Callithrix jacchus: one gene and its partner. The main gene of each other region encodes a partner of the protein of the gene in region 2 in a complex. Links are inferred from orthologs where the notes say so. Each region holds a gene or a part of one and is shown on either strand. Other genes may lie near its edges.

Region 1 (3,908 bases), on a different chromosome or scaffold from region 2:
TGCCCCCAAAGCCTAGCCTGCTGAGACTTCGGTACCCGCTGCTCAGATGGGCTGGTGACCCCAGCTTGGCCCTGGGAACTGTGCTATGCACGTGAGCCTGTGTGTTCAGGGCTGAGGGATTTCGGGCCAGGAGGGTGAACTTTCCCTTATCACTCAGCTCCCATGACAGTTCTGCCCAGGCTCCTGCTGTGGGATGGAAGACCTGGCAGTGAGTCCGACTCAGTCCTGCCTGCGGGAGCACCAGGCCTGGCAGAAGAGGACCTCACAGGGGACACCTCGTGGGTGTGTGGGTTGGGGCTTGGGCTGAGGGCAGGCCTGGGGGCTCTGGGGCGGGGGTGAGCTGGGTGTGGTGGGGCGTGCTGGGAGCCCCGGCTTGAGGGGCCAGCAGTGGGTTGGATGCAGCAATTTGCTCTGCTTTGTTCTTCGGATGGGGGAGAGCAGAGGGTGGCCCCACTGTGCAGGGGGCGTAGGAGTGGACGCTGAGGGTGGGCTCTTACTAGCTCCACTCTGCTCTGCTTTCAGCGCTTCCCTGGCTCCCCAGCCTGCAGCAGGCAGTCCAGCCCTCCCCTGCACAGGGCTGCCCACCTGCTGCTCCCTCTGCCCCACCAAACTGAACCCAACCCTGGGGCCCTGCACCTGCTGTCTCCCTGGGCCCCACTGAGCCCTTCTCTGCCGGGTGAGCTCCTGTCTAACTTCTACATCCTGGCACCACTCACTCCCAGTTGGTGGCTTCTTCCTCTGTTCCCGACTCTGGAAGGCAACTGAATGTCATGGTGACTGGGAGAAGTGAGGGGTGCGCTGGGCGTCCCCCACTCTGCTGGAGGTAAACTCACAGCAGGGCTTTGGCCTGTTGGCTTCCACCACAGGCGGGCTCCCAGAACGCTCCAAGCAGAGCAGGGCCCTGGGGTCGGGTGGCTGTACCTCTGTCCCTGCCACCAGGGAGCCTGTCAGTCTCCTCTTCCACCTCATCCTCATCTTCCTCATCGTAGCCATCTGGCCTGTAGTCCTCCTCCTCCTCCTCCTCCTCCGGCTCTGCCTGCCCTCTCCCTGGCGGTGCAAAAATGCTTGTAAGCCTCAGCTACCCAGATACTTGGGATACCGGCTCTGGGCAAGTGTTGTGCTCCCCACTCCTTGGCACCCCCCACCTCCACAGGCCCCAGGGCAGCCTACCTGGTGTCACCTCTGGCCCGCGCATGCCCTGCTCACTGTCCTGCAGCCAAGCATGCCCTGGCATTGGCGGTACAACAGCAGCTGCTGTGGGCTGGCACTTTATGATGGCCCCTCCTCACACCCCACGTAAATAGGGCCACAGATGTTTGGGGACTCTCGGGGGCCCAGGTCAGCTTCCATTCATGCCCCTCTGGCCTGGGGGCTCCCGCCTCATCCCCTCCTTCTCCCTAAGCCCCTGCTGGGGGTCCCTGGAGGTCCTGCTCCGGGACTGCGCCTGCTGCCCCCCACCACAGGGTTACCCTTTGCTCTGTACCTGGCCACCTGCATAGAAGCAGGACAAGCAGGACAGCTCCAAGCACCTTCATCTCGCCGGTCGCTGCTGTGTCCCTGACTCTGAGTCCTTGTGTAGGGCTCTGGAGCTGCGGTAAGTGGGATGAAGGGCATTGCTGGGGGCTTCCCAGTGGCCCCCACCAGCTCCAGCCTCAAACAATGGGCCTCACACTGGTCCCCAGCTCCAGGCGCCAGGCCAGGGACTGTCGTTTCCCTCCAGGACCTCTGGGGCCAGAGGGGAAGGATAAGTCATTGTGGTTGGCCTTGGAGCGTCCTGTGCACCTGTACTATGGCGGCTGAAGATGGTGCTGGCCACAGGAGCTGCTGGCCCTGCCCTGGCTTGCTGCTCAGTGCCTCAGCCCCGCAGGGCAGGACAGGGAGTCTCGCCTCTGATTAGGCCATGCCTGATACCCCCAACCCCGTGTCTGGGCTCCACAGCCACAGGAGCTTGGGTCACAGACCCTCTATTTGCCAATCACTGGCCAAGCATCTTCATCCCAGAGCCAGCATCCCACCCAGGCCCCTTTAAGAGTGTTTAGATAAAAACAGTCAATGCCCGCAAGCTAAGGCTGTGTATTCACCTCTTCCTCACCCCCACTCAGCAGTGTGTTTGCTGGTCCTGAGGCCTCCTGACTGCCCCTCACTTCCACCTCCAGCCTTTGCCCCTGCTGTTCCCTCTGTCTGCAGTGCTGTTCTTGCTTGTGTCCTGTGGAGAGCTTTCCAGAGCTGCTGAGCCTGCTCCCTCGGCCTCCAGCTGGGAAAGCCATCAGCCTTACCTCCCTTCTGGCCTTGTGTGAGAGATGGCTGCTCTGGGAGAGGCTTGGCACCCCCAGGCCTCTCCCTGAACCAACCCCCTCCACCAAAGCGGATGCAGAGCCCCTAGGGGAGGATGCAGAGGGTAGAGTCCAGGCTCCGAGCTGCCCCTCTCCCTAGTGCAGCAGAGGGGTGGGGCAGCAGCCAGGGTTGGACGGGAGCCCGGAGCCAGGGTCAAGCCTGCACATCTGTGTGCTTTGGAGCTTGGGCCATCCACATCCCTCTGGCCTGGGGACTCCAGCCACATCCCCTCCTTCTCCCTAAGCCCCTGCAGGGGGTCTCTGGAGGCCCCTGTGCTCCGGGACTGTGATCGCCTTCCGAGACCTCAGTTTCGCCGACTTTCAACGGGTGGGGTGGGGCATTTTCTGGCCTGCCACCTGTAACAGAGGTTGAGTTGGTTCTGGAATGAGCCGCCTGGGTTTAGGACCAGGTTCTTCCTTCCCCAGGCTTTGGGTCCTGGACTAGCCCCTTGGGTTTGCCGGGTTTCAGCTCCTTCATGGGATGAGGTGACTTGCTGGGCTTAGGGCAGCGCCTGAGGCTGGGAATACCTGTCTCTGATGTCTCAGCCACCTTCGCTCATCTCGAATCTGTCATTCTTTCCACTCCGCGGGCACCCACCCAGCGTCCAGACCTTCCCAGTCCAAGGCTGCAAGGCCACTTTCCAAGCCAGGGTCGCCCACAGCGGTGCTCATGCGGACACACCCCGCAGGCCCCATTCTCTTCATACCTGGTGCCATTCCCCCCAGCCCAGCCCCGCCCGTCTGCCTGTGGTCTCACCCCAACCTGCCTCCCAGCACCTTCTTGCTTTCCGCCCGCCTATCCCACTGCCCCGCCTCCCTATGGATTCACCTCCCCACGGACCCGCCTCCCCTGAGCCCTCATCCAGCCCCGAATGGCCCTCTCCCTGCTTTCCCCAAGGCCCGCCCCGCCTCCCCATCGCTCCACCTCCCCGTCGCTCCGCCCTCAAGCCCGCCTCCCCATCGCTCCACCTCCCCGTTGCTCCGCCCTCAAGCCCGCCTCCCCATAGCTCCACCTCCCCGTCGCTCCGCCCTCAAACCCGCCTCCCAATCGCCCCGCCCCCCCATGCCGCACCTCCCCCGCGCCTCGCCTCCCCGTCGCCCCGCCTTTCTGGCGCCCCGCCTCCCCACACTCTACCTCCCCATTGCCTTGCCTCCCATTCGCCCTGCCTCCTTGTCGCCCCGCCTCCCCCACGCCCGCCTCCTTGTCACCCCGCCTCTCCGTCGTCCCGCCTCCCTGCTCTCCGCCCCGGCTCCCACTACAGGCCCTTGAATCTAGTGCTGCAGGAGCTGCTCCTAGGAAGGGCGCTACTGGGGTTCTCAGGACTGTTGAGAGCAGGGAGTCTCCACCTGCTGCCTCCCCTCTCCCGGGGCCCAGGCCCTTGCCCCTTGCCTCCCTCTGGGCCCAGCTTCTCCTCAGCCCAGGTGCAGACTGCCCAGCCCAGGCCAGGGCTTATTGCGGAATCACCTAAGGACAATCAGAGCACATTTGATTCGCAGATTGAGTTAAATTTAGTGCTCGCAGCTGAGTGGCTGTTCCCTCTGTCCCGCCCAGGAAAGGCTGCTGGGTCTGATCCA
Region 2 (3,808 bases):
TAGGAAATACTGAAAACTAATTCTACTTATTTTAATTTTGTGTTACAGGTAAGAGAGAAGATATTGCCTAGTGTTGCAATTTTCTCTTTTTTTTTTCACTTTTGCATAAACAAATCCAGTATAGATTTTCTCTTTCTTTAATAACAGATTTAAATTACAAAGGCTTTCCAAGCATCTGAAATAGCATTATTTATTATGTAATATATCTATACATATTTGTATATGTGTATGCATTTGCATATATAACCATATACTCTATGTACAAACATATACACATTTGTATGCATGTATGTGTATGTGTATATGTTTGTGTATGTAGTATATGGGTATGTATTTTCCCATCATTCCCTACTCTAAATACCTGTATCACTTTATCACGGAAGGTTAGCCAAGCAATGATAGACTCAGGAAACATTACAGTAGGAAGGATCAGAGACACATGGTCCAGCCCCTCATTTAACTGGTGAGAAGCCTGAGCCCCAGAAAGGTGATCCCATTTGCCGGTGTTCATTTGCCTGGTCAGCAAAAGAACCAAGAAAAGAACTTTTGTCCTTTGATGGCCAGTCTAATAAATACAGCTTATTTTTACTTCCAACTACCTGGTTAAAATAATTTGCCTCTGTCAGAGTATTCGCTTCCTTCCAACCCCAGCATACTTTTTTTTTTTTTTTTTTTTGAGACGGAGTTTCACTCCTGTTACCCAGGCTGGAGTGCAATGGTGTGATCTCGGCTCACCACAGCCTCCGCCTCCTGGGTTCAGGCAATTCTCCTGCCTCAGCCTCCTGAGTAGCTGGGATTACAGGTACGCGCCACCATGCCCAGCTAATTTTTTGTACTTTTAGTAGAGACGGGGTCTCACCATGTTGACCAGGATGGTCTCGATCTCTTGGCCTCGTGATCCACCCGCCTTGGCCTCCCAAAGTGCTAGGATTACAGGCTTGAGCCACCACGCCCGGCCTCCCAGCATACTTTTTAGAGGTACTTTTTAGGGAATGGTCTGAAAAAGTGGATCTCTTGCAGCTAAGTCAGAACTCTCGACCTCAGTTCCCTTCTATCCTATGCACCTTCCCTTCCAACATCTTCCTAGCTCCATTACATCACTTTCTAATGCTCAAAAAAAAATATTCATCCTTATTCCACACTAAAGAATAAATACTAATGTTTTCATAGAAGAGATTGGTATATCAAGGCGAGGATAAAATGTCCACAGGCCAGCCAACTGGTGGGGAAGGATTTGGCGGGACATACCATCTTTCCTTTGTCCTGAAATCACAAGCTTTTGTCTGTTGGGCCCACTTAGTTCTTGATCTCAGCAGATCTATTCACTATGAAAATATCAAACAATAGAGCACTGTAGGACTATTATTGTCCTTATAGACTGTTCTTATCAAAATGGTGCTTTTGGCTATAAAATAATACCCATGTTCATTCTGAAGTTCTGAATTGACCCTAGAAAATATTTATATCTTTATATCTAAGAGAAAAAGAAGAAAGAACAGCCATTTGTCTGGTTCCAGTCAACAACATTGTTTTGGACACATAAGTCTTCTTCTCCCAGTCTTACCTCCATCCAGTTGATAAACCTGGCCACATCTTGTCCCACCAGCTTGGTGTAGCCCGCAGACACTGGATAATGTTGCTGAGCCCGTGACAGCCAGTCCACCACGATGACGTTGGAGTCTGGTTCTCTCTTGTACAGGGCGGCTACAAGTTTTGGTACCCAACTCTCATACATTCCTGTTACCTGAAGACGATGACACAGTTTTCTTAAAATACCACCTACCACTTGTCATAGATATGTCAGCCTAATACACCTGCATGAGATGGAAAAAACAAACTTGGAAGTCCACTGGCACAGATAGAAAAATCAAATACCGGAAGAGTGTTCATACAGGTCTGTCCCTTCCAAAGCAGATCTAAGTACAGCAGGAAGGGATGGGTTGAGTTGAGGAACAGCAGATTGGAGTTCACCATGCTTTCCATTTTAAAAGTATATTTTAGACATTCAGTAAACTTTTGATTGTTTATACTATTAGAAGGAAAGATATGTCTGAATGCAAAATGGGTCTTTGAGGAAACTAGCAGGAGCTCCTGACTGGGAACAGAACCCTGAGGAATCGCTCCTACCCCACTCACCTTCTCCTCCCTACCTATCTCACCTTCTCAAGGTTGGGGCATTGGGTACCCTTTGTAGTTGACTTTCAGGATCAAGATAAGATGTAATTTCTTCAGAATATAATGTTCATGGCTCCCTGTTTTAGCCAGGGTCTCCGACTTCACAATGGAAACCCTGTACTTAAAGCCAGTGTCATCCAGGCAAGTGGCAAAGCTGCAGGACAGCTGTGTCTAAGCAGCAGGCTGGAATGTATCGCATGCATGCTGCATGCTAAGAGTTCTTTCAGGTCTCTAGTGACACAACTAGAGAGCCTCCTTGTCGCCCTTAGTCTGTGCCCTTGAGTCCCCAGGCAGCCTTTTTCAGATAAAGCAAGAAAATCTTGGTTAACTCTAGGTCCTGTTATAAGTTTTTCTGTATTACCAGCATTTGTTTCTTTTTTTCTTTTCTTTTCTTTTCTTTTTTTTTTTTTTTTTTGAAGCAGAGGCTCACTGTCTCCCCTAGGCTAGAGTGCAATGGCACAATCTCAACTCACTGCAACCTCCACCTCCTTGGTTCAAGTGATTCTCCTGCCTCTACCTCCTGAGTAGCTTGGACTACTACACACACACCACCACACCTGGCTAATTTTCTTGCATTTTTTTTTTTTTAGTAGAGATGGGGTTTCACCATGTTGGCCAGGCTGGTCTTGAACTCCGGAACTCCAGTGATCTGCCTGCCTTGGCCTCCCAAAGTGCTGGGATTATAGGCGTGAGCCACCGTGCCCAGCTCAGTGTTTCTACATTAAGCAATCTAAAAGGGCTGGCCATCCGACTTACTCCTATAGTGGCTGACACCTTTATTAACTGCACACCAACTAATTGAATCCTTTATATCTGATGAACATAAAACACTGATGGAAGTAACCCCAAACAAAGTGAGTGAAAAATCTAAGTACTCACCTTCGGCAACTCAAAAAGGGTTTTATTTTCTAAGTCCTTTCAGTCTGAGCTTTTCTTCTGAGGTTCAGTAATTACTATGTTTTAAATCTTTGGTTTTCAGACACGCAGCTGAACTGAAGCCCTCCCTGCCACCTGTACAAGGTGGGCCACCTGACCCTGCCAGTGAGTTCACTGAGATAAGCCAAGATCAGCGTGGCTGGCTTAATTCTTGCACAGACCCAACTCAGTCCCACAGCCAGACACCAGTCTCTGGGCTCAGGCACTCAAAGTGTCAGGACGCAGGATATGAAAGATGCAGGTGGGCTTAGTGGGGCTGTAGGACCGATGATAGAAGTGGCACCATCTGTTGATATTGGGTTGGTGATGTCATCTTAGTATAAAAAACAAATATGTTTTTCCACAACTTCCCAAGTCTCTCAGGGATAAGATTGAGATGTCTGAGACATTCAGTTTATTTCTGTTGTATAAATGTGTTTATTAAGCTCAAAATTTTTGAAAAGTATTCAAAGCCAAGTTCTGTATATAACCAAAGTGCCTCTACAGATTCCTTTTTCTGGGCCAGACAGAGTGGCTCATGCCTATAATCCCAACACTTTGGGAGGCCGAGGTGGGTGGATCATTTGAGGTCAGGAGTTCAAGACCAGCCTGGCCAACAGGGTGAAACTCCACTTCTACTAAAAATACAAAATTAGCCAGGTGTGGTGGCAGGCACCTGTAGTCCCAGCTACTCAGGAGGCTAAGGCAGGAGAATCGC

What was found.
Region 1: the proteins of LPL (region 2) and GPIHBP1 are in contact, whole or in part, in a crystal structure (PDB 6OAU), measured with the Homo sapiens proteins. The link is inferred for Callithrix jacchus from reciprocal best matches to the Homo sapiens genes LPL and GPIHBP1. Residues at the interface, in NP_000228.1 of Homo sapiens: Tyr367, Gly368, Thr369, Ala371, Glu372, Glu374, Leu403, Met404, Lys406, Lys430, Lys440, Ile443, Cys445, Ser446, Arg447, Glu448, Val463, Lys464, Cys465, His466, Asp467, Ser469; in NP_835466.2 of Homo sapiens: Cys68, Lys69, Ser70, Leu92, Ala94, His95, Gly96, Asn97, Thr98, Glu99, Ser100, Leu103, Thr104, Thr105, Ser107, Trp109, Cys110, Thr111, Asp112, Ile117, Lys119, Val121, Glu122, Thr124, Val126, Met128.

What each region holds. Positions count from the first base shown.
Region 1 is NC_133517.1:54,364,812-54,368,719, forward strand, and holds the start of GPIHBP1 (glycosylphosphatidylinositol-anchored high density lipoprotein-binding protein 1), read right to left. Parts: upstream 2,296-3,908; 5' UTR 2,268-2,295; coding exon 2,082-2,267; intron 1,590-2,081; coding exon 1,484-1,589; intron 1,048-1,483; coding exon 922-1,047; intron 762-921; coding exon 717-761; intron 1-716.
Region 2 is NC_133514.1:21,539,507-21,543,314, forward strand, and holds part of LPL (lipoprotein lipase), read right to left. Parts: intron 1,745-3,808; coding exon 1,565-1,744; intron 1-1,564. UniProt on the Homo sapiens protein: Key enzyme in triglyceride metabolism.